4 linked regions of the Lonchura striata genome follow. The protein of the gene in region 4 purifies or fractionates together with the protein of the main gene of each other region. This does not show direct contact. Links are inferred from orthologs where the notes say so. Each region holds a gene or a part of one and is shown on either strand. Other genes may lie near its edges. The genes, in order: ATG2B, PAXBP1, GCFC2 and HDAC11.

Region 1 (7,342 bases), on a different chromosome or scaffold from region 4:
GTTCCTGCCTGTGCTTTGATTTTAAAATGTAGTTAAAATTTAAGTTCTTAGACAAGAAGTAGTTAGGCTGCCTTAATGAAACAAATCCTAATCTTACTCGCATACCAAATCCAGAGAGTGCAACTTTCCAATGTAAACAAAACCCTACTAAAGACTGTGGTTGTAATAAAAGGACAATCTTCAACTGGCAAGAGAAAGTACGGTTTTGACCTTCCTGAGTTTAGAACAAGGCCACTGATTTTACCTGAGAAAATGCTTAAATTCAGCATCGTAAGTTTTGAAAGAAATAAGGATTTAAAAGTTGTTGTCCACTTTTTTTTGTATTTAAAATTATATTCCAATTATATAGAATAATTTTTAAAATGTAACTTTCTGTAAACATATTTTCTTTATTTTTAGTTTTCTATCTCCAGGTGCAACTTTCCCATCACATTAACTTGTTGCTCTCCTTATGCTCTTAATAACCTTGCCTTTAGGATTTTGCTTGCCTTGCATGTTCAGCTTTTCTAGTTCCTGTTCCAAAGTCCACTCAAGCAGCAGCAAAAGACAAACTTTAAAGAAACAGAACCTGAACAGTCCTACTGGGAAATTATTCAGGAATCAAATAATCAACTAAAATTCAGTGACATTAAAATTTTATAAAATTAATAATATAAAAGCTCAAACATATTTGGGCTTATATTTAAGAATTACAGATATGGCAATAGCATAAAATAAGGCAAAAATAATTGTTAGAGATGAAAACTATTTTAAAATATCACATGTTCATTAAAATTATTTGAATGAATTTACAAATTATTTGCTATAGCAAGAAATAAACTAGCTATCATAATTTCAATAAATCTGACTCAGATGTCTTTTTGCTACCCATGTGCATGGCAATAAAAAGTAAGTGTATTTTAGTACACTGCTTATTATTTTAAAATAGAAGTTTACTATTTAAAAGCAAAAAAACTGAAGCACTCTTGAGCTAAATTGCTTCACAAATAGGCCAGATGTTCCTAGAAGGAAGTAATTGGAGCATTCCAAGTGAAATTTTAAAACTGAAGCACAGCCTTCACATAAGGACTTGTTTCCAAACTATTGATCAACAGTCCACAAAAGTAGTATTTAATGTATACTAAAATTCAACCACAAACTCATGCATTACATCCTGATTCTTCTGAACAACCCACAGCCCAAAAGCCATAAGCTTGACGTTAATAGCCCCAGGAATTCCTACATATCTCTACAATCTATAAACACAATGTTGGCTAAAGTATCTACAGTGCTGAGATGAACAGAAGTGTCTGTAAAAATGGATGCCATGTAAAAATACAGTCATCCTGGTGATTCATTGAGAACAAGGTTACAGTGACTAGGGGGAAAAAAGAGCTGTAGTACTTCCGTGACATCTGCTTTTGCAATCTGTCATACATGAGAGTCACGTGCAGAGAACCTCAAACATGTAATTGTTTACAAGTGGAACAGAAAACTGCTGATCCACAAATGGGGAAGATCACCTAAGCATTACAGTATATTCATTTAATCACTGTGTACACGTTATGCAAACTTCGTTTAGTACTGGCCCATAACTGCTTTGTTATTAAGTATTTTATATTTTAAATAATATAACTTTGACTCGCAAAGAGTGCTCGTTACCCACTAGAGGGCACAACAATTCAATTAAAGCGAGGCAGCCTCACTGCAAGCCTGCCACAGAAAACAAGCTGCAGACACAGCCAGAAAATAAAAGAAGAAACAAACAAGCAAACAACAAAAAAAGTCCACACTCAGACACTGGTACCATTGAGCATTTCTGCAAGCGTCTGACCCCTACCACTTTCAAACATATTTTCACACTAACAACATTAAAAATCATTACCTGAAAACATCATATATTCACATGTACTTTAAAATGTATTCTGTATGGCCTAATACCAATACATACTGTAATAAAAAGGTGGTTTGGAAAATATTAATGCAAAGGACCTAGCTCATGATCTGTGCTACCCTAGAAGTCAGTGACTGATTCACTGCAGTGCTTAAGTGTCCTCATGACAGACACTCGACTCACAGGTAGAATTCAGTAATGCTGGCAATTAAACCAAGAACCTTTACAAAATATAACAAACACAGTGATCCAAAGGTGTGTCTCTAGAGTAGGCTGGAAATATACATGTGTGTATAAATATAGATATATTCAAAAAACATACATGCCAGGACTGGAGTGTGACAGGCCACCTGCTGAGCAAACTCCAGCAAAAATCAGCTTTCTTTTTGTCAACAAGTACTTTCACCACTACAAGACGAGGAGACAATCTTTAGAGGACTACACAGACTAAGCTCAGCATAACACTATCATTAAGAACCAAGATGTCTCCAAGAAAAGACAAAGCATAGATACCACAGGGATTACTTTGTTTTCACCATCTCTAGTAGTCAGTAAACATACTTCTCATTAACTACAGGGATTTCTAAAAGTTTGGGGTACACTAGCTTGTTCTCCCTGAAATATCGGCAGCTATTGCCTTCTTTCAGTTTTTGTTTCCCTTCTCATAATTAAAAATTGTGCAATCCAAGTGTGGCTAGAAAAATGCATCTGTAATAAATGCCGCGATTTTTTTTTCTTAAGTGCTAGAATATCAAACAACAGTTTCCAAGATTGAATGCTAATTACGGCTATAACATTTTACATAAAAGAGGCTGGGTGTTGAAAATAAAGTGGGTGGCAGCCGGGGGCAGAGAATCAGCTGGTCCCTCAGACGCCGCAGGAGCCGAGGGGGTGAAGCGCCAGCATCTCTTACCCACTTATCCAGAGGGACCTGCGTCAAGGAGCCGGTGCCCTGGTAGAGATCCAGGCTGAGCTGTTCCAGGCTGAGCTTCTCCTGCAAGAAGTGGCCCAGGTACCTCTGCAGCAGGTACCTGCAGGCTCTCTTCTTGATGGACTCCGAGAAAGGCCACGGCATGGCGGCTGCACGCCGCGGGCCGAGGCCGGGCGGCGGGACGGGGCCGGGCGGCGGGCGGAGAGCGGCGGCGCCAAGGAGCCGAGCGGGCGCCGCCAGGCCAAGGCTCGCCCCTCGGCGAGGGCTACGGCGGGGGCTCCCCGCTGCCGGGCGGCACCGCCGCCGCCGCCCCTCGCCCCCGGCGGGGCAGCGCTGCCCGCCCTAGGGCGAAGAGGCGCTGACAGGCAGCTCCATCCTCACTCGGACACCGCCGCCATCTTCTCGGGCGCGGAGGGGCTGCCGCAGCCGCGCTGCGCGGGGAAGGGCCGGGGTCCGGCGGGAGGGCAGCCCCTCCCCGTCAGCTCTGCGCCGCCGGCGAGGGCGGCCAGGCCGATCGCGGCCGCTCGCCTCCTTCCTCCCAGCGGCCCCCCGCCGACCACCGGCACCGTGACGTGCGGGAAGTGGCGTCGCCGAGCGGAGGAGGCGGGCGCGGAAGCGGCCGCGGGAGAGGGCGGCGCGGCCGGAAGGCGTCGTGCGGCCGGCGGCGCCGGGGCCGCCTCTCCAGGGAGCGGCCCGGGAAGCAGCGGGGCGGGCGCTGTCCGCCGAGCGGGGCGGCGCCGCGTCCGGAGCCGTGCGGGCCGGGCGGCGGGGCCTCGCCGTCCGCCGGCGCTGGTGGGTGCGCGGCGGGGCGCGGCGGGCGTGCGGTCCGTGGGAGCGGGAGGCTCGGTATCCACCTCCCCTATGGCCTTCAGCTTCCTTCGAATTTGTTTGTGTGTCGGCGGTGGGATTTGGCAGGAAGCGGCGGATCCCGTGGAGTTGCGGATCGGATATTGGCAGCCCCCGTTTCCTCCCGGCAGCGGTGCTCATTTGCCCGGGAGCTTTCCCTGCTGCCTCAGGCGGGTTCCACAGGTGTCAGCTGCGGCCTCCCCGCGACACTGGGACCCGCGGGGCCGCTGCCGGAGCCGCGGTGATAGCCCCGCTGGGGCTGCCCTTTGATACCACTTGCTCGCGAAGACCAGCAGCCTGTGTCTCTGGAATGGATCGGCAGTCGTGCGTAAAAAATTAACAGGAGCTTTATTCTTTAGTGACGGTAACAAACGGCTGCCTTTAATTCCGAAGGTCTTTGATAACCCATTTAGTTCATAGACTTTTCTAAGTTTTCCTTAAATGCACCAGCGATAGGGTTTTGTTTTCTGTAGCTACTGATTTAGCTTTTTGCAGGCATGACTTGTCTTCCTCCTACACTCTTGATCAGCAAAGTGCAGAATTAATGACCACTGGATCTTAACAGAGCCCTATACCACAGAATGCAAGTTAACTTGCCTGAGAAAAACTAGGGTCAGTGATACTGATACCACTTCTAAATGTTTATATAATCTTCTTCAGCCCTTGTTCTGAATATCCTATGTTTGAGTTCTCTAGACTGTCATTTCATGAGTTATGGAAGTCACTGGGTCTCATAGTTTCCTTTTTTTTTTGGACAATGTTAAATACATTTGTTTAAAATATAACTTGTGTTTTATGGTGTTATATATTGAGTGTAGTGGTATAATAAGTCTAAAATAAATGTTTTTATATGCAGAATGGAGACTGATTGCAATCCTATGGAGTTGCCCAATAATACAGGGTTTGAAGAGGATTCTGATTATAGAGACTTCGAAGGAACAGACGTGAAAGATATGAGACTAGAAGCCGAAGCTGTTGTAAATGATGTTTTGTTTGCTGTCAGCAACATGTTTGTGTCAAAAACCCTTCCCTGTGCAGAGGATGTGGCATATATCAATGTGGAAACCAGGGAAAGGAACAGATACTGTCTGGAACTCACTGAAGCAGGACTCAGGGTAAACTAATTTGTTTGTAATTTCTTAAACTTCTTTGTTTTGAACAATGACCATATTCAAAAGGTGCCTAGAAAAATACTTCACTGACAACCACACATATCGGTCTTGTACTTTTATGAAAGCCTGATCTACATGTTTTCTTCTAGAAGAGGGAACTTTAGCTATTTACTTCTAACAAAGCAAGAAGGGAAGTTAATAAAAAATCAGGATTTTATTTAAGACACAAAATGGTGAAGATAGAATCAGTAATTTGTTACAGGTATGTAAATTTTTGGGTTTCTCAGGTACCCAAAGAAATCAGTAATACAACGTCTATACAATTTTTTTGCACCATTTTTAATTTTTGCACAGACATGTAGATGTGAGACTTCTTTTCAAAGTATGTATTTTACTAACATTCTGAGTTTTGGACAAGAGGTATTTGAAATTGTCTTAAATGCTGTATAACCAGTAAGCTCAGTAGTAGAAAGCAGAGACTGTGATTTTAAATTTGGCATTTTTTGTTCTTACAAAACATTGTACTGTACTACCCTGACTGGAAAAGTTAAATGTTGTGCTACATGTACCAAGGTGATCATCACCACAGAAATTTAACCACCCAATTCTTTGTTGCAGGTAGTAGCTTATGATTTTGATCAGACTGATGATAGACTGCAAACTCCATATCATGAAACTGTCTACTCCTTGTTGGACTCTCTCAGCCCTGCATATCGAGAGGTGTTTGGAAATGCGTTACTACAAAGACTAGAAGCTTTGAAGAAAGAAAGTCAGTCATGATTTACCCAGATATGAGGAAGATTTAGTGCCAGAAGGAATTATTATGAAGCACTGAGATCTTCCTTACAAACTGCTTAAGCTTCATTTCTTGCATTAACGTCTACTTTGTGCTACTACATTATTATATAACATTTATTTATATGTTATAACAAGTATATTATATAACATTTTGCTACTGTGGTTTTGCATATATCACAAGATTATTAAAAGCCAATTTTATAAATAGAAAAAATTCTTAATTTTACTTTCCGTTGTAAATGAACCTGTAAGTTGCTCCATACAATGTTCAAAAACCTTGGTCTCTTTTCCAAGTCTTAGTATTCAAAACTAAAAAAATAGCTACTGAATGTTATAGATATAAGTAGTAATTCTTTGTGTATGTGTTTACTGATAATTTTCATGCCTTCTTTTTAAAATAGAAGGTAACTACTTGCTCCACCCAGTTAATGAAATAATTAATGAAAAACTTCTGCAAAGAATTCCTGCTTGATTTGCTATACATAAACATGAAAGTTGTCAGCTTTGTAGCTGGAAAGATGGTTCTTCAACAGTTGAGCATTGCTTATATAGTGGCAGTATCTGAGTTAAAAGCAAGGCTCAGCATTAATTGATCTGTCCTTGTCTATGGCAACCAGCAAGCTCCAAATAATACACGAGATGAGCTGCTTATATATGAATGTATTGTCCGAAATGCAAATGATTAAGCACAGAATTAATGGGCTACACATTTCCTAAAAATGATGTTATCTATGCTATAAATATGTATGCTGTACTGCAACTGTTTGAGAGGCTTGGAAGGCCTGTTTACTACTTTGAATGTGTATTTACATGATGTACAGGATATACTCAAGAGTATTTTTGATTCAACCTTTACTTTCTATAATACAGGACTTTGGTACTCCCAGTTTTCACGTTTTCTCCCTCAATTGTACAGTGTCCTCTCCAAATGACTACTAAACTAAGCACTGTAATGTTAATTGCATTGTATTGGTTTGAAACCAAAGGCTGTATGAAATTTGCTAAGACTAATACAAACTGGAAGATATAACTTGTATTTTGTACTTAAAAACTGGTACAACTCTCTTTATAAATTGTTCTGCTATAACTTTTCAAGTATGTACTGAATGGTAGACTTTTTAAAAATTAGAGTTGGGTAGAAATGCTTGTACAGTTGAACTGACATTCTGTGATATTCACACTTTTTGTATTATTGTGTATTTGTGTGTCTTTATTTAAACAATCCTGCCATTATTCTTTTATGCTTTTGTGACAAGTACAAGCAGTAGCTTTTTTGGAGCCACATTTAGGGATTTATTGGTTTTCACAGATTCCAGTGACTTCAGTAGAGCTATGCTGGCTTCTATCTGCTGTGGTTAGTCATATAGATCAGACAAGCCTAGCAGAGCTTTTGTAATGGCTTTGAGTTAGCAGTGTGCAACTATGACAGGAGAACTGTAATTAGTGCTTCTGTTTTCAAGAGCTTAACTTCATAGTTATTATCTTTTTGGGTTGAAACTTCTGAAACTAGTCCAGTGCCCTAGGGTATGTTTCCATGCTCCAAAAATTGTTCATAGGCTCTCTTTTGCACACAGGTCTGTGGCACGTGGTTAGTCCTCTGTGAGGAGAATGTACTTCAGCAAATTTATATTTGAATATTTTTCCTTGCAACTGATTTACTTGTTCAATTTCAATGACTAAAGAATTAAATAAATGGACCAGTGTGTTGAAGTTTTCTTGTGTGGCGTGGAGCTATTGCAAAGTTGGGAATGAACAACTGAAATCATCATGCCCTTAGAAAAA
Region 2 (7,301 bases), on a different chromosome or scaffold from region 4:
TTTGGTTTTTCTTCTTCCTTCTCACTTTCAACTTCCATTTCTTCTTCACCATGCTCACTGTTTGCAGTCCCATCTTCTTGGCCTATATCCTTATTCTGTCCTATCTTTTCTAGTGGTGCTTCAACTGATAAGACAGCAAAGTCCATGTTTTACTCCTTTTATAAAGATCACTCAGAAGTATTTTTTTAAAGATATAACAACCAAAAGTGAAAATCAAATGAAAATGTTAAATAATAATTTTATTGTTTGAGATCTAGGAAAATACACTTTCTTAATTGTGATTAAATCACTGACATCTTCTCAAAATAAAATGTGACAAGGCAGGCCCCACCAACCACTAAACATTCTTCATATTGTCAAGTATTAAGAAAGTGGGGGAACTCAAGCTTGTGCAAGCTTGTCAAAATCTCTTTCAATGAGAAAGCACTGCCTGTGTTACACCAAGTATTTCCACAAGAAATGACTGATTTGAAAAGAACCATTCATTTTCCTCTTGGCTACACCCTACATTAGGTGGGTAACATACAGATACAGGCAGCAAGTATAATAATGTGTAAAAAAATGCACATTAAACCCAGCTACCCAAACCAAGCTGCACATATCTGAGGTTTCAGACTCAAGCACTTGTTTATAGAATCCAGGCTGCTCTTTCAGTAGCAGTCTTTAAGTCTTTGAACTATAGCCACATGAATTAGGGAGAGCGAAACAAACATGGCCCACACAGACACGTGCAAAATGTAGTATTTTAAGCATCATTGTGACAGAAGCAAGAATCCAGGTTTTCACAGATGACCTGAATACTAGCCATAGAAATGATAATTTCTGGTTTTGCTCATGTCCCACACCACTGCATAGGCAATTTAAAGATTCTAATAAGAAAGAATATGTGGGTTTTCTAAATGCAAACAAAATATTTAAAAATAATTAATTCAATTTAAAAAGGGTATTTCCTGCATGGGACCATGTTCAACACCCAAGTGCTTCTCTAGATCATTGCAATCTTTAGATCATAAGCCTCCCAGCTCATGCTCATATCATTACATAATTTATGTAAAAACTTAAGTGGAAAAGGAAGCACTACACTTTACCAATGAGCTTCCCAAAAACCAACAGTAAAATGAAATTGAAGTCCCGGGCTCTATTTCAACCTCTCAAGGACTGTACATTGTAAACAGATCCTTTTGCTCCAACACTTTGAGTCTATCATCTTAATCAAGTATACTCAAAGGTCCAAGCCCTGAAACAGGTAGCTGTTTAACAATTAACTTAAAAACAAAGACCATCACTCTGCTCGCCCCAAAAATCTTCCTTTTTGAAGAAAATGCATTATAAGGACACATCTTGTCAGACAAGCACCATTTTCAAATGAATGGAATTCCTTCCCAATTCAATAAGCAATTCATCTGTCATAAACACAGCTGCAATTCAGAATACTGATGTCTACTGACAACCATCTAACAGAGCTGAGAAGTTCCATCCTTCTATGTTAACTTCTACATGAGAACCAAAGAACTTCCTACCAATGTAGAACAGCATTCCTAAGGCTCAAGTAACACCTTTCATCTGTGCCTTACTTCAGCTCTAAATGTGAAATTCTCTAAAAGACTAACAATTCATTTTGAAAACAATAAATTAAATTACAGTACTTGATCTTTTCCACTACAGAAGTTACTATTAGTTTTGCAATTACCATCTGTTGGAGAATTGACCTCTGTTCTAACTTTTGATTTTTCAAGATCTTCTTTGTATTCCTTCTTCAACTGTTTTACAATCTTTTTGCTGTAACTTGATTTCTTCACTTTGAAAACTTCTTCCGTTTCTTTAAAAGAGAAATTGGATAACATTACATGAGATCTGTCAAGCATACTTATTTATTTAATCTTTAAATTTTGTACCTGGAACCTCACAAATGCCATTAAAAAACCATTAATGGATGCCATTGTAGGGTTCTTTCACAGTCTCTAGTGAAAGTCTAATTTTACACCTTCTATAAAGATTTCAAATCACAACTCTTAGAAACCAAGTTTCAGTGATTTCAAGATAATTCCTTCTAAGACAACTCAAAACTGTGAACTGTTCGTACAACAGGCAGTGAGTCCGAGGTGACATGTGAACACCAGCCAGATTAAAACCACCTCGACAGAAAGCCACGGCACCGATGCTCCTCAGCTAACACCGATGGCTCCAGGGGGAGGCTACAGGCTGCACGAACCTGGGGCATCCCAGGCGCAGCAAACGCAGCACAAGCGATGCACCAGCAACACAGCAGCATCTGAACCCCTCCACCACAGCTAACCCCGCTGGAAGCATGCTGGCCCCGCAGGGGACGGGGGAGGCCCGTGCTCTCAGTCCCCTGGGCGGCCTGGGGCGATGTGGGATCACATAAGACGGGGCGAACCCTGACTGCCCTAAAAAACAAATACGGATCCTGCTCGCTCGGAAGGCCTGGAGAGGCCCAGCGCAGGCTGGGCAGCTCCGCTTCTCTTTCACGACCCAAAAGCCAGGCAACCATCTCTGCCTCACCCTCCTCCTCGTCCTGGAAGCTGAGCAGGCTGGCCCTCGGCACCTCTTTGTTCTCCCGCGAGCGCTTCTTCTCCTTGGGGCGCCCGGCAGCCGGCAGCCCATTGCCCTGCTGCGGCGGCGGGCGCAGGGCAGCGGGCGCTGCCAGAGCCCCCAGCCCCGCTCGGTCGCCTCCCATCAAGCCCAGCCCCAAGCCGAGAGCCGCCCCGTAGCTGGCGGCGCAGGCGAAAGCCGCGGGGCTGCCGGGCAGGGCGAGGGGCACGCAGCCGGCGGGCAGCGGCAGGAGCCCGGCGCCCGGCGGCGCGGAGGCCTCGCTGGGCCCTTCCCCCGCCGCCGCGGCCGCCGGCTCCTGAGGCGGCTCCTCGTCGCGCTCCTCATCCTCCTCCTCCGAGTCGTTCCGCTTGCGCACGTTCACCCTCCGCGCCTTGCGGAACATGCCGCCAGCACCCCCCGGCCGCCCCGCCAGGCCCCGGCGCCGCCCGCCCCGCGCTGCGGCCCCGGCCCAGGCCCGGCCCCGCCAGCATGGCCGCGCCGCCGCAGCGCCCCCTGCCGCCCGCTCCGCCAGCGGCGGGCCGGGGAGCGGCACGGCGCCTGCGCGGCGGCAGCGCGCCCGGCCCGCCCCCGCTGCCTCCCCTCACGGCCGGCGCCATCTTGTGCCGGCAGCGGGGCGGGGGGAGGGCGGCGGGAGCGTGAGGTGGCTTACGTGACAAACGACAACCACTTGGTTTTTAAAATATTAAAAGTTTAATAATAATAAAATGGTTATAAAAATAGTAATACAATTAGAGTAATAAAGTTTACAGTTAAGACAATTGCAAGACAATAAACAGCAAAGAATTACGGACATCCGGATGCTCTCGGACACTAAGCCACAAAAAGCATTCCTTGTGAACAAAGGAATAACCTTAAAAACAATAGCCTGATGCATATTCATATATCCTTCATGGTTATGCATACATTCTATTCAAAACAAGAACTCTGTTGTATGTCCACTGTTTCCTTTAATCCCCAAGGCGTTTTCGAGTCTGAGCATGGCCTGAAGAAATTGGCTTCTTCTGATAAGAAAACCATAAATTCCTTTTCTTGGAAAGATTTAAGTGTTCCTCAAAGCGAGTATCTCATTCAAAAAAAAAAAAAAAAACAAACTCCCCCAACATACATTGTCTCTATTTTAACATTATGTTGTAACCTCAAACTACGTTTATCACACTGCTTAAGAGAATTAATACAGCATAACATTCTAACATTACACATATAATATTCATTGTAACATTTGCGAAAAGCCAATAATAAAATATGCATTTTTTCCACAAGAGCAACATCTCCAAAATGCATCTACGTCTGGTATAATAAAACAAATTTTATACAACACACTCATCTTGCATGATGAACCTTTTCTTTAATATAAGTGTGAAAAATGCATATTTTCACAAGAGCAATGTCTCCAAAATGCATTTACGTCTGGTATAATAAAACCAATTTTATACAACACACTCATCTCACATGATGAACCTTTTCTTTAATATAAGTGTGAAAAATGCATATTTTCACAAGAGCAACGTCTCCAAAATGCATCTACGTCTGGTATAATAAATTTTATACAACACACTCATCTCACATGATGAGCCTTTTCTTTAATATAAGTGTGAAAAAATGCATATTTTATTATTGGCTTTTTGCAAATGTTACAATGAATATTATATGTGTAATGTTAGAATGTTATGCTGTATTAATTCTCTTAAGCAGTGTGATAAACGTAGTTTGAGGTTACAACATAATGTTAAAATAGAAATTCTGCAATATAGGATTTGTTACAAGTTCAAGTGAGAAAATGAGATAATCAAGAAACTCTTCACACAGAGATGTCAGCAAAAGGGGCCCATAGAAAGTTACAGCCTCCTTATCAGAAAAGACAAATATTCTTCTACCTTCTCTCCATCTTTTTGGAACCACCAAGATTAAGAAGAAGAAATTGATAAAAACCAGAAAAGTTCTTAATTTGCAAGGAATTTATGCATCATGTATGAGATATATGAATATGCAACAAGTGTATTGTTTTAAGGTTATTCCTTTGTTCACAAGGAATGCTCTTCATGACTTAGTGTCCGAGAGCATCTGGACCTCCGTAATTCTTTGCTTTTTATTGTCTTATAATTTTCTTAACTGTAAACTTTATTACTCTAATTGTAATACTATTTTTATAACCATTTTATTCTTATTAAACTTTTAAAATTTTAAAAACCAAGTGATGGGCGTTTTTCACACTCTGGAAAAATTCTGTGAGCTTCTAATGCAATACTTCTGTAGTGCAAAGCCCTATAAAATAGAATTGGTAGCAGGTTTTTGGTATCTGCTGGGCCAGAACGGGGCTGCTGGGAAACTCACCACAATATCTGAGCTGTGGATTTCTGTAGCTGAGAATTTTTTCCTGGAAACAGCAAACTGCAGTGCTTACTTGGGCACTGGAATAAAATGTCTTTTTGCACCAGCCTTATTCAGAACACTACAGTGGCAAAAGTAACTAGAAATTTAATTTGCTCTGTTAGAAAGCCCATGGATTTATTAACTTCATTTTTTCCCAACAAGGCCAGAATACATACATCCTCAGCTACTGCTGCATGTGTAAATTTTTGGACACCGCTGTCATGGTAGTGGGGAATTACTGTGATTTCAGCACATTTGCCTGTGTCTGTAATAGACAGTCATGAGAGGTATCACTGGAAATATTTGTAATTTGGAGAAAAAGGCTTATGGTTTGTTGCCAAGGGGCTGACAAAGGGAACAATGTCTTTACAACAGCTGATTCAATTGTTCTCTGGCTGAGTTAAATGGAGTTCGGTACCCAGCTTTCATTAACCAGTGTGCTTAAATCTATTTGCAATTGCAAATAGACCCCATTAATTCCATCATTAGCACATTGCTGATTTCAGTGGGAAAGGTCACAGTAATGGGGGGTGGGAATGTATTTAAGTCTTCTGAAAAATTAAGTTTTGCTTTCTAGAAAACTGCTCCATCATTGATTACAGTTGTATCAATATGACTATTTAAAATAGAAATAGTCTTTCTTTAAAACTGCAGCAGCTTCACTTCCTCAGAGTTCCTCTGGTTCCTCAGAATCTTGATAGCCATTCCCTTAAGTGCACAGAGAATCATGGAATCCCAGACTGGTTTGGGTTGGAAGGGCCCTTAAAGACAACCCAGTTCCATCCTCCCTGCCATGGGCAAGGACACCTTCCACTGGACCAGGCTGCTCAAAGCTTCACCCAGCCTGGCCTTGGACACTCACAGGGATGGAGCAGACACAGCTTCTCTGGACAGAAGGTTTCTTATATTTTATCTCAGTTTCATGTAATCGACTGCTGCCAGTGCAAGGCTCTTATTTCAAAGCCTTTATTGTACTGTGTGAATGGATCCAGCCTTAGTCATATCTCACAGAATTCAAACCTGCAGACATGGGCAAGGAGCAGACTTTGGGCTATTTTAATAGTCTTAGTGTAGGTTTTTTAGGGGATGACAACCTTTCTCATGCAACACATCTGAAAATTATCTGCCCAAAGCCTCACCTCCCTTGTCAGATGAGAGTCATTTCATGGAGTATTTCTTCTCTCTCATATGGGAGAACATGAGCAATTTGCCATTGTCACAGATGTTGAAGCTCCGTCCATTTGGGGAAATTGCAGATGACAGTACATCCATCATGCAGGTGGCAGCCTTTCCCTGAAAAAATATGGATCAGATGAAGTGATCCAGTGGAGAGTCACCAAGACAAGCAGGGGCTGGCACATGTGACTGTGAGAGAAGTGCGAGGGAACTATCCATGCTCAGCCTGGAGAAGGGAAGGCTAAGGCTCATACATGGAAAAAAGCTTACCAGTGAGGACAAGGCAAGGCAGTGGAGCAGGTTCCATTGTGCAGGCTCCATCCTCGGGAGCTTTCAGGACCCAACTGCTGAGCTGCCTGGTCTGATCCCAGAAGCAGTGAGCTGACAGCAGGGGACTGCGCTGAAGGTGTTGCTGACATTGGCTGAGTGCTAGAGACACCCAGGTCCTGAGCTCAATCCCCATATAGGCCACTCACTTAAGGGTTCAACTTGATGATCCTCGTGGGTCCCTTCCAACTCAGGATATTCTGTGACTCTATGCAATTTTCAGTCACAGCTTAGCAGAGACACAACTGGCTCTCAGCTGTTCAAACCCTGTGTATGCTTCTCCACAATCTGCATTCAAAACACCACCTTTACATTCCTGTTTTCACAACAGAGTACCTACTGAGTGCTAGAATTTCTGCTGCTAGCCTGGGACTAACTGTCCTAAATAAGCAGTGAGATTATTTGCAAGAACTCATAAAGCAGCTTCACAAGGAAATGCAATAGGACTACACTAAAAAAAATCATGAGGCAACATCCTGTGAAGCAAAGGCACTCTAGTAGGGCACATGTAAGAAACAAAGACTAAGGTTTGCTGTGATTCAAATGAAAAGGTATTTGCTGTCTTTTCAAATATAATGCCTGGCCTTTACATGCTTCAGGTCCCTCTGGGAACAGCCAATACTGGTACCACAGTAAGAACATTTGGCCAAAGTCAGGAGGAGTTAGGGTGTCATTTGGAGCCTGGACATCCAGGCTTTTTTTTTTTTTTTTCCTAGCAAACAGCACACCTGTCCAAGTCATGACCTAAAAGCTTTTCCTTGAGAAAACTGTGGGAAATTATGTCAATGGCTTTACTAAACCCCAGGTAGACAACATCCACAGCCTTTCACTCACCCACCAAGCAGGTCATGTTG
Region 3 (7,061 bases), on a different chromosome or scaffold from region 4:
CTTTATTTAAAAATGGAGGCATAAAACAGAACAGGATAAACAAAAGGACAGGTTGATATTTGCTTTCCACACCTAAAAGAACAAGATGCATTTCTGATATCGATTCTGAGTAGCAATTTATCAAAAAGGTGTAGAAGGCACAAAGCACACACTGCATCAAAAATAGAACTTCTAGAGGTGTTGGTTTGGTTTCTAAACCAGAAGTCCACACAGGTTTTAAAATAACAAATGGCTACTGTATTCATTTTGCAGGATTTTCTATTACTTCATAGCTGTATGAATTAAAATATTCATGTCCCAACTTTGTTCCCTGCCAAGCACTGATATTATTTAGTAGTGGATGGGGAGCTGGACTGTATTTGTTCAGTGTGGCAAAGGCTTCTTTGCCTACCGCACTGAAATTATTTTGAGATTTACAGAACATCTATGTAACCATAGAGAAAGCAACTTTCCAGTCAGGCCAGACTATGCTGTGAAGGGACGCAGTGCTGACTCATGCAGACTGAATTATGGCAAATAAAACTTTGCCAACTGCTGAGCAGACACAAGGGTTTTACTTGCTATCCCTAGCTGCAGTGCAAGCAGGCAGAAATGCTCAAGCACACAGGAATTTCACAAGTGCCAAGTGCTGACAATACCAGAGTAATGGGGTTAAGCAAGGTTATTTGTTGCAATTTTACAATCCTTATGCCACAACTAGTAAATAACATTTTGGTAAGACAGAGTTGCAGGTTCATTTCAGACACATTTTTTTCTCCATGCTCAAATTTTGATGCAAGCCAAGAAGCTACTCTGATCCCAATAGGCTGGGATCCCTACTGCATTAGCTACAATTTTTTTTTTCCCATAAATCTTTCACTTTTAGGAGCTAAAACCCTGTTATTTCATACATACTGTTGGGTTCTGAGGACCAGTACTACTTTTGAGTAGTGTACCTCTTGTGTACCAGTTTTGTGAGGTTCTCTGGAATTACATGTTGCTTTTAAGGGATGAATAACATAAATATTGTGGAAAATTCGAAATAAATCTTCACAGATTTCAGAATGTTTCATGAGTTGCTGCAAAAAGGAAGTTTTTTCAGATTTGTGGATTTCTGAAAAGATGCAGGCATGCTATAAAACAAGTACATACTATGATAAAGATAGGCAAAACAGTGTCAAACAGTAAAGTGAGTTTATGATTAATAACGTAATTAATAAAAACAGGGATTCGTTGAAAGGGCAAAGAGATCACTGTAGTTTTAAGCTGGTTTATGGAAGTCTACACAAAAGCTCTGTGTTGATGGAACACAGAAGTTTGCCCTGACTGTAGCTCTTGCTTGCCTGGTGTAACGCTGAGTGTTCGAGGTGCTGCTGCCCCCATCTGCCTGACATCCTGCTGGACTTTTCCATGAAAAACGGAAGCAAAGGCAAATTCTTCCACCAGCTGCAAGAAATATGATTGTACTGTACCTCAAATCAGTGACAAAGTTGCTGCATTTAGGGGGTTGGATCTAATTTTGCAGTCTTTCCCCCAAAACAGAGTTGACCTCTTAGGTTTTGGTTTTTTTTTTTTGTGGTTTTTTTTTTTTTTTTTTTTTTGCGGTTGAAAATTGTTTTTGACGAGAGGTAAGTCTGTCAGAGCAAGTAACTTTGTAACTTACATTGACATTAAAGTTTAACAGGGTTCAAGCCAGAGCTGAAATCAATGGAGTGTGAAAAGAGATCATACTATCAGCTATTAATGCTTCACTTGAATTTTCATGCAAGGTTTGTTTTGCTTTTATCCTGCTTCTTGCTTTGGAAAGAGAAATCTATAATAATTTGCTGGTCTACTTCACTGATCTACTCTGTGTCTTTCTGAAAATTCATTTGCCAGAGGAATTTTGGTTACATAGTCACTAAAACACTTAAGAACAAATGATTCTAATATTTGTGACCAATAAATCCTCACCTGTTAAAGTCTGTTAACTTTAACCTTCATGCAAAAGGCAAAATTATCCTTTTGTCCTGTGTCAGGAAAAGGGTTTTTACTGCCCAAGAAGATAAATCCATTGGCACTTGGCATTGACAGTCCTTCCAAGAAATACTGTGCTGCGTTGCTGAGGCTGAATTTGATTTTCCTCTTCTGAACTGGGATCATCATGGATTGGATGCCACTGCCCAGATCAATATCTTGGCACTTAGTGAGCATATTAACTGGAAGGACAACTGCAAGCATGGCAGTTTCAACCTGCAGGAAAGACAAAGAGTACAAGGGTTGTGTTCCCTGTTTCTGCCATGCTGAGGTCCTCAGTCCTACCTGAGTAGTGCTTACTAGACTGACAGGATTTAAAATCAGACGAAAAATAAACTTTAATACAGAGACACAACAAAGGAAAGAAGCCCTGCCATTATTTTAAAGATGTTAAAGGCTCCTGGTAAAACTCCCATCTTTGCTTGGCTTGATGAAGCCTTCATTAGTGCTGGAGTGGTAAATGAGAAACATGGATCTTATGGGCATTATTCCAGGTAAATCCACATCTGCAAACTTTGCTTTGCCCAGGTCACAATGGAACAACTCAATACACCTGTGCATCCCCAGACTATTCTTGACTTTATTCTTCAGTCAGAGAAACTACCCAGGGAAAGTCCATATAAATTCCACAGCAATAAGGCAGTTTTGAATCATAGCCTGCAATAAGTCAATTTAAACACACATCCATGGACAGGTTTAATTTCAGCATTTGCATAAGTACTTTATTTATCCACCAGACCCCGACCATTTTAGAGTGTAGAAAATAAATAATGCTGCAAGGTGAATTGTGCTTCCTGAATTGTTAAAGTTTTTATTATCATCCTTATTCACTAAGTAGCCTTGGGTTTTATTTAATAATCATTCAGAAGCAGTGCTGAATAAAAATATATTTTAGCTGATCTTGGGTTTTTATGTTATTCTTACTGTAACTGGTGCTTCACAAATGCAGCTTTTTCTTCACAAGATTCCTGAGGCAAGTTAATATTAGCATCTTCATCTTACAGATGAAGAACAGAAAGGTGGAGCAATTTGAGCAAGAACATTTCAGACATTTGCTATTCTTGGATACTTCTCTTGGGACACAAAAGCTTACTTGAAGGACTTGCTCTGCCTGGTTTCATGTTTTCATTTGGAGTGGGATGCACTTTCTTTCCACAGAGCAAACCACACACAGCTCCAGTCAGCACGGCAGAAATCAAAGGCTGGTACAAGCTACAGTGCAACTCCTTTCCAAACAAACCAATTTGTCATCAGTTGTCACATTCCCACCTTCCTTCTGTTCCCAGCCATATGTTCCCCTCCCCTTCCCCCAGCACTGCCACCTGCCTAGCTCCTTCTGTGAGCTCAGCCTGAGGAAAGGGAAAAAAAATGTGTGATTACTTTTTGACAACGAGCTACAGAATGAGTTTCGCATTTACAATAATAATAGAATCAGAAAGGCTTGTCTTGGAAAGGACCTTAAAGATCATCTAATTCCATGGGCAGGGACACCTTCCACTAGTCAGGTTGCTCAGAACTGCCTCCAACCTGGCCTTAAAAAGCGTATTTATTTGTTTTTAGTGTATGTTACTACTAATTCTAAAATAGATAGTTTATTTGTGTAGCTAGGCATTAGCAATTACATTTCAATTTACTATTCATTTACATAATACGTAGCAATCACAAAAGTTTATAAATATGCATTAGTAATTATCGCCAAATAACTTACATATAATATATATATTAATAATATATATATAATATATATATATAATTTACGCATATTAAAATATCATATAATGATACATTATTTATAAATTATATTTTATAATACCGGAACTCCATACGTTTTCTATGGTACTGTGGAAGAGGGGAGCACCCACCCAGCACAGCAGCCCGTACACTGCGAGGCTGACGGCTAGTTACATTTTTAGGCATCAGTGAGTCACCAAAAAACGCCTTTTACGTCTTTTCACCGTCCCCTTCTCGCGCTCCATCCCTCCGTCCCGCCCACCGCGGGCGGGGCGCGCCGGGGTCGCGGCGCGTGCGCGGCGGGACGCGCGGCGGGATCGCGGCGATTCCGGGAGCGATTCCCGGAGCGATTCCCGGAGCAATTCCCGGGGGCCATTCCCGGCAGCGATGTTCCGCCGGCCCCCGCGCAACTTCCGCGGCCGGCGGCGCGCAGCCTCCAGCGGCAGCAGCGAGGGCGAGCCCGAGCCGCGGGCGGAGCCGGCCGCAGCCCCGTCCCCGGACTCCGGCGCCAGCTCGCCCTCGGAGCGGGGAGCGGAGCCCGCGGCGGGCGGGGCCGGTCCCGGCGCGGAGGGGCCGCTGCCCGCCGGGGAGCCGGCCCGCAGAGCCGGGGCGGGCGCGGGCCCGGGGCAGCGCCGGGCCGGGCAGGAGCTGCTGAGCTTCGGCGGCGAGGAGGAGCGGGAAGGTGAGGAGGGTCCTGTGTGTGTGTGTGTGTGTGTGTGTTGCCTTGGCTGCCCCCTCAGCGAGCCCCTGCTGCCTCTCGTGTCAGGGGAAGGGCTCCTGGGAGCGTTCGCACCATGAACCCGCGCTAAAGGACGGGCTAGGCCTGGTTAGTCTGCTGAAGACTGCGGGTCTTGTCAGTCCATCTGGATATCTCGAACGCGGTGCCAAGAGAATGGTGCTGGACTCACTTCAGTGATGCCCAGCAATAGGATGAGGAGCAATGGCCATAAACTAAAACACAGTAAGTTCCACCTCAACATGAGGAAGACCTTATTTACATCAAGGGTGGCAGAGCACTGGAACAGCTGCCGAGGGAGGGCCGGCAGCCTCCCTCTCTGGAGACATTCCGAACCCTCCTGGACACATTCCTGTCTCCCCTGTTCCAGCTGACCCTGCCCTGGCACGGGGTTTTGCCAAGGTGCTCTCCAGAGGTCTCTTTCAACCCTAACAATTCCGTGATTCTGTGAAAAGTACTTTGATAATTACTTATGTCCACATTGTTTCAGCTGGAAAGCATCTGGAATCTTACAACTGGAGAAAGCCAGTACTGTGTAGTTCCATGATGAGCAAGATTAAATAATGAAACTTAAGTGTTTGATTGACACTTCTGGGCTGTTACTGTTGTGGTTGATGAGAAGACAGCCACCTTGGTGGGGACAAGCTGCAGAGAGACCCTGCATTTCAGCAGTGCAGTGATGCTGTGTACAGGAGGCTGACCTGGAGTTTTTACCAGCTGGTCGATCATGAGTGATGAAGCTGCTGTAATATTTAGAATTAATCCAGCCAGAACTGAAAGACTGAACATAGCCCTTACTGCTGTGGTCTTGACATGTTGGTGTTTGGTCATAGGTTGGACTTGATCTCAGAGGTCCTTTCCAACCTAATTGATTCTGTGATTCAGAACTTAGGCTGTGCACACACATAGAGTTTACATGCACTTTTGTATGCAGTACATACATATATATGTGTGTATATTGTTGGTTTTATTAATGTTACTCAGAATCACTTTGTTTTATCTGGTAGGTGAAGAGTTTTTTAAAGTTAAAAAGCCATCCTTCAACGAAGTAACCTTTAGAATTAAAAAGAAGGAAAGCTTACTGCCTGCACAGACAGAAGCTGAAGAAAGCAAAAGTAAGTACTTCTTTTAGTTAAGTATTTTATGAAATATGTGAAGAGTGATGTAAAAATACTGCTGTTAGATGTTTTTTGCTTGTTAATTGAATCCAGAATTATATTTACAATGTTGGTTTACAGGTTTATAATTGTAATGTATTTGTGCTGAAATCATTTTCAGTTTGACCTTGGTAAAAGATTATCAGAACTTGGAGGCTGTTCTTGAGAAAACCTGATTATGCAGAACCATGTACTACATCAAAGTTAGCAAAGTTTTGCTAAGTTTGTACCTCAGCATCATATGTTTCAAACTATGGGCCAGGTGTCCACTGCTTATTGCTGTCAGATTGCAGTTTATCTGAGAATTGGCATTGAGGGAAAATGTGAGCTTAGTAGCATTTTGTCTGATGAAACTTAATGCAAACATTATTAAATTCTGTGCTCTTACAGCATTTAAATGTTTTAATTGAATGCAGTCAAAAGCATTGATTATTCTGATAGTATCCCTATTTTCATTTAAATACAGTCAATTGCCCAGAGAGGCTTTGGACTCCCCATCCCTGGAAATTTTCAAGGCCAGGTTGGGTGAGGCTGTGAGCACCTAGGCTAGTGGAAGATGTCCCTGCCCATGGCAGGCTAATTGGAACTAGATCTTTAAGGTGCCTTCCAACCCAAACCATTCTGTGGTAAGTTTCCTATTGGAATATTTGGAGTTTGTGTGTTTTAGAAAGAAATTAATCTAAAAGTTCTCTTTATGTATTCCCCTTTTGACACCTCTGTCAATTCACAGATAAACCGTATATGCTACTGTTAGATAAAAGTAAATTAGATTGAGATTGGGCAAGAATTCCCTTTGAGGTTGTGATTCAGCTGAGATAGTAAATTTTCTTAGCAACTTCTTATAAAAGTGTATCATATTCTTATAGAAGGTGGTACATTCTATTGTAATCTTATGATTTACTGAAACTGTAGTGGCAGATGAAGATAAATCAATACTTTTAAAGGATTTGATAATAACTGGAGACAAGATAGATATAAATGTTTATAGTTTAGGAGCGCCCTTATTGTTAATACTTTTTAAAAAGTGCTTTCTAAATGCAGTTTTTCAAGTCAAGAATCCAAATATGCTGTGAATAATCAGAATATTATTAGTTGTTATCTGAGAGCTGATCTCATTGCTTTTGTACATGTAAATACACTCTGTGTCTCAGAAGGACTTATAGTCTTTCTATGGGAAGCATCACCAAAGATGCTTTTATTCAATTCAAGAATTGTCTTGTAAATTACTGTCTTGGAATGTTACAATTTGACATGTTTTGATGAGAACAGCTGGAATTAGACAAGTGACTGGTCTTTGCTGCAGCAAGGTGTAAATAATTTCTGGTAACCAGTTATGGCACATCATATTCCAGCAGCTGAAATAATGGATCATACTTTTTTTCCCCTATAATGAAGAAATCTGTCAGTTGGAGTCTGGAGTTGGCAACACCAAAGATACTCAT
Region 4 (7,651 bases):
GAGAGATTTTGCTCTGAAGTGTTATACAAGAACAGCACCTGCGACATTTGTTTTGGCCAGCTCCTGTTTCTCCTGACTGAGGCTTGAGGAACAATTCATTCATGCAGTGGTGTCACACAGAGCCAAACTGCTGCCAGCTTCCTCCTCCAGGAGGAAGGGACTCTGCAAAGATGCTCGCTGCTGATCTGCTCAGTGGTAAGGCACAGGGGAGGGTCAGCTGTTGCCAGGAATTGCTACACAGCCACAGCAAACCAAGTGCTCTGGGGCATCCTGGGGCTTCTTCCTCCTTTCAAAGGACAGTGAAACAATTGGGAAAACTGATTTTCTGTGAAAGCTTGAGACACTTGAGAATAGACGTGTCACAGAAAAGGAGCTGGAGGAAAAGGCTTTACACAGAAGAAACAGAAAGGCAAAAGTTCTGATCAATTAAGAAAAGTGTTGTGGAACACAGCACTAAATTATTTAAGGTTGGTAGAGGAAAAAGCCAAAACTCAGCTACTAAGTTATTAGTGTTAAAATTATTTGACCTCAGTTAAAAGAATAAAAGTCAGCCTGCAGTGGGAAGGGCAATCCTGAACTGCAAAGGATCATCAGCTGAAGGAGTCATAAGGCCCACATAAAAAGAGGTCTGGCTTTGGGACAAACAACAGCCTTTGTCCTGGAAAGAGAAAAAGCCTTTTTTTTTTTTTTACCCTCAATGAGCAAGTTCTTGCTTTAAATAAAGAGATTACAAGATTTCACAAGCCCTGATCCTGCCCCTGGATCTTACATTTCTATCTCCTTAATGCATTTCTACCTGTATCCTACAAATGGTTTAAACAGCAATAATTAGAAGCATCATAAAAAGCTCTGCCTGTACCAGAAGGACCTCAAAGCTCTTTCTAAACATTATCAGAGCAATAGGATGAGGCTGCTGAAGAAAGGACTAAAGTGCTACAGCAGCACTTCTCCCTCAGCCTGAGGAGCTCTGTGTGCAGTCCAGCTTGAGTAAGTTACATCATCATTAACACCTGGTGTTTCACCAGCCACAGGAATGCCCCAGCTCCTGCTACACCAGGTGTAAAGGCAGGAAGCACAAGGCTATAGGAAGCCACACACTGCAATTCAGGTCTCTGAAAAGCCCAATACAAGTCTGTACTAACCACATAATTTTCTTTAGATTTTGTGCAAATGTTGGTTTAAGAGACACCTTCTGTTATGTTTTTACCTTTCAAAAAATTGATGACTTTCCCCCATTTCCCTGCATCAAAGGGGTGCAGCTTCTCAAGTCCCATGAAGGTGATGTTGTAGTCTGGGGAATACACAATGGGCCAGCATCCCAATGGGGGATCCTCGTACAGCTCCGTCCTGTGAGGCCTTGGCAAGCAAACACACACCAGTCACCACTTCAAAACTCATCTACCAGTTTGACACTGAAGGCTCAAGTTACAAATTAGCCCTGATACCGACTTTGTAATTCAAAATATGGTAATTCCAACAGAAAAATGGCAACATTTGGTTCTCTCCCCTCGTCTTTCCAAATGTGTCAATCAACACCTCTACCTTCAAAGGTGCACCCAGACTAGACTACTATTTTAATTTCTGTATCAAAACACAAACCATGATGCTTCTAACAATAGAAGCTTGGAAAGATTTCTATGCTCTTTTCCTAGAAAGCAACAAACTACTTTGTGACCACCTGAGCAAACTAATAGGCCTTAGGTTTTTACTTGCAGAGGACAGAACCAGATGCCACACCTGTAACCTTTAACCAATATTTTCCTTGCCTACCCCTCCAAATAATTTTATTTTCCCAATACCAGGAAACACAGCAAAGCCAGGTCACAGCCCTCCTTCACAAGCCATTCGCCAATCCACCAGTATTTATTAAATGCTCTGTGTTTACAAAACAAACACCAATTGTCTGTGGACACCAGTGTGCACACGTGGGTCAGGAGGACAAACCAAGGCTGAGATGGGATTCTGCGTTCACACTTAGCCTATTCCACCACCTGCTGGTTGCCTTCTGTGCCCCAAACTCTCGTCACTGGAGAGAACAGATGCCGAGGCCTCTCCTGCTCCCCGAAATGCCAAGTATGGAAAAGGCTTTGCCACATACTGTGCAAGACACAAGCGTCTTTTTGTCAGGTGAACAATACAAACAGAAACACCCTTATTTCCAGCCTGAACACGTTCAGAAACACCCTTTGAAAACCCTGTTAGAAGCAAGCCAAAGGAAACACGAGGACAATGGAGGTTTCTCCCCAGGACCCGCAGCCCGGCGCCTACACACCGCCCACACTGCGAGCCAGGGCTCCCCGAGCCTTCCCGCGGCCCTCCCCGCGATGCAAGGCGGCCTCTGGGGAAGGTGCTGGGACAGCGGGGCCCGGAGCCTCGGCCGGAAAACAGCAGCACTGCTCCGGAGCCCGGGGTGCTCGCGGCGGGACTCCCCGCTCCCAGGGACACCGCGTCCCCAGGGGCTCCCAGGGGCTCCCCGCTCCCAGGAACACCGCGTTCCCAGGGGCTCCCAGGGGCTCCCCGCTCCCAGGAACACCGCGTTCCCAGGGGCTCCCAGGGGCTCCCCGCTCCCAGGAACACCGCGTTCCCAGGGGCTCCCATGGACTCCCCGCTCCCAGGAACACCGCGTTCCCAGGGGCTCCCCGCTCCCAGGGGCTCCCCGCTCCCATGGACTCCCCGCTCCCAGGGACACCGCGTTCCCAGGGGCTCCCAGGGGCTCCTCCCGCCGGGGCGGGGCCGGGCCGGGCCCGCGGGGGCTCCGGGCGCCGCCGCAGCCCCAGCCCGGCCCTGCGGCTCGGTGGCCCCGAGGCCGGGCAGTGCAGGCCGGGCAGTGCAGGCCGGGCCGTCCCGCCCGGGCCGTCCCGCCGCTGTCCCCGGGCCCCGCGGCCGCCCCTGCCCGTACTCACATCCCCGCCTCCGCCGGGCCGCGCAGGGAAGGGGCGGCCCCGGCCCCGCCCGGCCCGGGGCGGGCCCACGCCAGCCCCGGCTCGTACATGGGAGCGGCGGCTCTGCGCCGCGGGCCGCGGCGTGCACCTCCGGCGGCGCCGCTGAAGGGAAGTGCCGGACGAGCCGCTGGGCTGACCTGGGAAACGCAACGGCCTCGAGGCGATCCCGCACTAACGGTGTCTTTGGGTAGGAAAATACCATCCTCTCTGTAAAATAGAATTGACAGCTCGTACCGGTAGGTGCTAGTAGGTCTACAGCACGGTGAAGAAAGCAAAGGTGAAACAGTGATCCTACCTAACAGCAGCGGAACTGTTGTAAATGCAGGCGAACCCAATGGGAAGAAATGGCGATGTCTGACTCAATTGAGAAGGCTGAATAATTTCTTTATTATAACTATGGCTAAAATACATTAATACGCTATATAAAAGGACGGTGCTAAAACTACATACTTCTTTCTGTAACTCTAACTCTATATAAAAGGACGGTGCTAAAACTACATACTCCTTTCTGTAACTCTAACTCTAAACACAACTCGTGATCCTGAGAGTCCAGACACAAGTGGATTGCATTGCATTGCATTGCATTGGCTATCAGGCTCAAACGATCCTCACCAGAATCCAATCAAGTACTCACTCCAGGTAAACAATTCTCCAAACACATTCCACATAGGAAAAACAAGGAGCAGAAATAGAAATTGTTTTCTCTTTCATTTCTCTCTGTGTACCTCTATGAAAAATCCTGACAGGGAGAGAAATGTGCTTGCCACACAGAACTGTTAATGATTTTGACAGGTCAGGATTCACCCCAGGGACAACACCACTGAATTCAGGCGCACAAGAAAAGAGTTTGACGTCAAAACCCCATTTCTAAGCATAGTTAACTAATCCTGCCTGAATATATATAACAAGCATTTTTACACAGTTGTATAGCTAAATCAATAATATGATGAAAAATAGTCCATCAATAGGAGCAGTATCTATGAATCCCAGGATGAATGCCCAGAAGCACTCTTTTCACTGGAGGAGTAATACTGCTTTATAAGAGTCCCTGATAAATGTCTTTTTTTTTTTTTTCAAATATATTGGCTTTGGCTTGGCATTCAGTTTTGATGGATGCCTGGGCTTCACCTTGGTATTTATTTAGCAGCAGGAGACCATAACACCACAAAAACATTCTATCGCTTTGACATTATCTTTTAATTAACATTTATTTTGTTCTGGTCCTTTGTGTGCTCACTCAGTATTCCTCCAGCACATTTACCTTTTCTTCCTTGTTCCTAACTACTTGGGACTTAATTAGAGTTTGAGTATTTAGTTAACAAGCTACAAACATAGATTGTTAATGTTTTAAGATCTTCACGGGACTTAATTTCCACTATGTTCTTATTTTATTTTCATTTATACTCTTACTTAAATTAAAAATCCACTGATGGACTAGTTTCCATGTTTCTTGGATGTCTTAAATTGTTTTGGAGCACTTCCAGGGATGGGGACTCCACCACTCCCCTGGGCAGCCCAGTGCTTGATGACTCTTTCCATGAGGAAATTCTTCCTAATATCCATTCTGGACTTTCCCCTGCACAGCCTGAGGCCGTTCCCTCTCCTCCTGTCCCTGTTCCCTGGAGCAGAGCCCGACCCCCCGGCTATCCCCTCCTGTCAGGAGCTGTGCAGAGACACAAGGTTCCCCCTGAGCCTCCTTTTCTCCAGGCTGAGCCCCTTCCCAGCTCCCTCAGCCTCTCCGGGTGCCTCAAAACCCTTCCACAGCTCCATTCCCTTCTCTGGACACACTCCAGCCCCTTGAGGTCTTTCTTGTCCTAAGGGCCCACTGCAAGAAGTGGTGAAGGTCTGGGATGGTTAAATCACTTGAACATGATGAATGTTGAAACAGGATAAGGGATTTTCCCTATCAAGAAACAGTGAAATGATGGGCTAAAGTCAGTGCTAGCAAATTCATGCCACAAAGAAAGTTGGGACTCTGGATCACTGACAAAACCTCTGGGTTAAATCCTACAGATGAAGCAATGTGATGCCAAATTGAGAGCTGATGCAAACTCACAGTATTACTTCCCTGAAAATTCCCACTTAGTGCCTGGAGCTGAAACCCTGCAGGAGTTGGGATAACCCTGGTGGATCTGATCAGGCCTGACATGTGCAGCTCTCCTCCGCTGCACGGAGGCAGCTGAGCTACTTCCAAAGGAGCTCTCTCTCTCTTGTCACGACAGCCTGTCCTCCGTAGAGTGTGAATCAGCTCCCTTGGGTTCGGCTGTGAGACGCTAATTATACATCATTAAAGGGCAAGGCACCTTCGAGACTGACATAAAAGCCGTGTCACTAATAGTTTGCTTTCAAACCTCTTTGAGTTGAGGCTTTTGAAACAGGTAACATCAAGACATTTGTTGATAAAATCAGGAATGAAACACTTGTAAAGAAACATATAGAAAAGAGATTGTTAAAATTTACACTGAGGCTTGATTTTCCTATAAAAAATTTTGAATAGTAACTCATTACATGAATTTCTACAGTAATATAATTGGTGTTTTTCAAACAGGAAATAATATTTTGAGAGACCATGCTACTTTAATCTCTTTGATCCTGGGGCCTTTGATCTGCCATGGTGTGACATGCCTGAGATCAGGCATTTTCTTCGGTGATGTGTTGAAAATGTGAAATTACTGATTCCTGTAATCCAGCAGAGCAGAAAAAGGTCTGTGCTTTTTATAGCTCAGAAACTGATACAGCTTTCTTCCCTTTCTCAGAGCCACTGGAAATGTAAGGCCTGAATATTCCTTAAAGATAAGATTATTTTCCTTACAGTGTTGTCTTCACTCTGATTAGCCTAAGGCCGTCTCCCTGTCTGAATTACACCTAACTGAAATCCTCACTCCTTAACAATTTGGTATGAGCCACAAATCGCTGCTCAGTGCCTTCAGTGCTGTGCAATTTTCAAGATGAGAGATGTGGGCTATTGCAACAGAATTCAGATGATACAAAACCCAGCAAGGGTTTCTCCAAAATAGTCTTTAAATGTCCGTTTCAGATTCACTGGAGGGACTCAGTTCAGTGCCTTGAGCTGATGGCCAGTAGAGGAAGCCATGAGACTTGATTTACTTTCATACTCTGTAAACATCTGCTCTTTTTGACATATCTAACCTGTTCTGATCTTTAAGTGCTTTGATAATCTGAATGGTATTTAGTCTGTTTATAATATGCAAGTGGTGAAGTGCAACACACATTTCTGCCCCACCTTTTCCAAGTATATTCAAAAGAAACACATAACTCAGCTGATGGGAAAAGTGTAATAAACACTGAGAAAATGGTTAAAAGTATCCTTAGACTACCAGGAAAACAATAAATCTCAGATTTCAGGACATTTTTGTTTCTGATGGCCTCCTGCACCTTTCCCATTTACCATTGCTTCACAGGTATTGGACTTGATGGAAGTAGGGCTGGGGAGGGAAAAGCAGTTTTATGTTCTAAAGATATCACAGAACCCCAGACTGGTTTGGGTTGGAAGGGACCTTAAAGGTCACCTCATTCCAACCCCCTGCTGACTGGGATGTCAGTCACTAGATCAGCTTGCTCAGGGCCTCAGGCAGCCTGATATTGACCACTTATAACCAGGAGCAGGGACTTTCTGCTACCAGCAGCACGATCATCACTTGCAATGACTTGGAACACCTTTGCTGCCCCAAGAGAGGTCCAAGGCTCAAGAAATGAGGCGTGGCCCGTGGGGAGAACCAACATGACACAAAACATACTCAGCATGTTTCTAAATCCATTACTGTTTTTCACTATTTTCTTGTTTCTGTGCTAGTTTTAGATTCATAAATTGCACTCTAACAATGCCTCCAGAGATGTCCTGGCAGAATTTCAGTCTCGGTGTTCACCTGAGCACAGCTGAGAAAGCAATGTGCACCAGTACTAAAGAACCTGGAGTTATTCCAAGCTTTGGAGTTTCCTAAGCTCAGAACTATTTAGAAACTCCTTCAAAGGCCTTCGGCTAAAATTTCTCACTGGTGCCATGAGGTGTTCACAAGTTTAGATAGGGATGTCTTGTGATAACCAGATAGGACTTTTTACTTAACTATGACGACACAATTCAGGCACAAATTATCAGATAACTGGCTTTATTTATTGACTTTATTACTATTAATCCAGATGTAGATGTAATGGTCACAGAAATTAGAGGGAAGAGACAGGATTCTGCCACAGTGTTTGCTCTGCTTTGTGCCCAGAACACTCTTCAGGAAGCCAGGGATCTGTGAAGCAAAGGCAAAACCCAGCAGCAAGAATAGGAAGTGCCAAGGAGCCCACAGCTCTGAGTAGCTACAGCAGGACTCTGGGGTGTTCTGGTGTGGGGCCAGAGGAGCTGTCAGAAACCACCCACAATCTGGTTGTGACACGTACTGCTGCATCACACCCACATGTGATTTGTGTTTATTTTCCTGAGAACAAGATAACATTTCATAGTTGTATTGCAATAAAAATTCCTACTGGTGAAGAACCATGAGATATGCATATATTTATATATAAAATAGTAGAGGTGGTATCAGGAAATACTTGCTTTTCAGGAAGCTTGACAGCTAGGGATCCTTCATAAATTTCAGATAGAGCTGATCCCTTCTGTTTTCCTCACCATCTTCCATATGACTAATAAATGCAATCAAAACAAAAGAAAAACATGTTTTTCAAGCATCTCAGAAAAACTC

The links.
Region 1: the proteins of HDAC11 (region 4) and ATG2B purify together in Homo sapiens (co-immunoprecipitation; 3 studies listed by BioGRID and IntAct, counting the BioPlex papers as one, with this or other methods). This does not show direct contact. The link is inferred for Lonchura striata from reciprocal best matches to the Homo sapiens genes HDAC11 and ATG2B.
Region 2: the proteins of HDAC11 (region 4) and PAXBP1 purify together in Homo sapiens (co-immunoprecipitation; 3 studies listed by BioGRID and IntAct, counting the BioPlex papers as one, with this or other methods). This does not show direct contact. The link is inferred for Lonchura striata from reciprocal best matches to the Homo sapiens genes HDAC11 and PAXBP1.
Region 3: the proteins of HDAC11 (region 4) and GCFC2 purify together in Homo sapiens (co-immunoprecipitation; 3 studies listed by BioGRID and IntAct, counting the BioPlex papers as one, with this or other methods). This does not show direct contact. The link is inferred for Lonchura striata from reciprocal best matches to the Homo sapiens genes HDAC11 and GCFC2.

The regions. Positions count from the first base shown.
Region 1 is NC_134608.1:14,163,071-14,170,412, reverse strand, and holds the start of ATG2B (autophagy-related protein 2 homolog B), read right to left. Parts: upstream 3,013-7,342; 5' UTR 2,949-3,012; coding exon 2,787-2,948; intron 1-2,786. Other genes in the region: GSKIP (GSK3B-interacting protein), read left to right, coding at 3,961-3,974, 4,507-4,765, 5,381-5,542. UniProt on the Homo sapiens protein: Lipid transfer protein required for both autophagosome formation and regulation of lipid droplet morphology and dispersion.
Region 2 is NC_134604.1:4,242,792-4,250,092, forward strand, and holds the start of PAXBP1 (PAX3- and PAX7-binding protein 1), read right to left. Parts: upstream 3,021-7,301; 5' UTR 2,957-3,020; coding exon 2,524-2,956; intron 1,820-2,523; coding exon 1,691-1,819; intron 125-1,690; coding exon 1-124. UniProt on the Homo sapiens protein: Adapter protein linking the transcription factors PAX3 and PAX7 to the histone methylation machinery and involved in myogenesis.
Region 3 is NC_134605.1:107,009,570-107,016,630, forward strand, and holds the start of GCFC2 (intron Large complex component GCFC2), read left to right. Parts: upstream 1-4,055; 5' UTR 4,056-4,113; coding exon 4,114-4,408; intron 4,409-5,469; coding exon 5,470-5,577; intron 5,578-7,014; coding exon 7,015-7,061.
Region 4 is NC_134614.1:2,021,288-2,028,938, forward strand, and holds the start of HDAC11 (histone deacetylase 11), read right to left. Parts: upstream 3,005-7,651; 5' UTR 2,993-3,004; coding exon 2,904-2,992; intron 1,357-2,903; coding exon 1,208-1,356; intron 287-1,207; exon of another isoform or gene 100-286; coding exon of another isoform or gene 39-99; intron 1-38. UniProt on the Homo sapiens protein: Responsible for the deacetylation of lysine residues on the N-terminal part of the core histones (H2A, H2B, H3 and H4).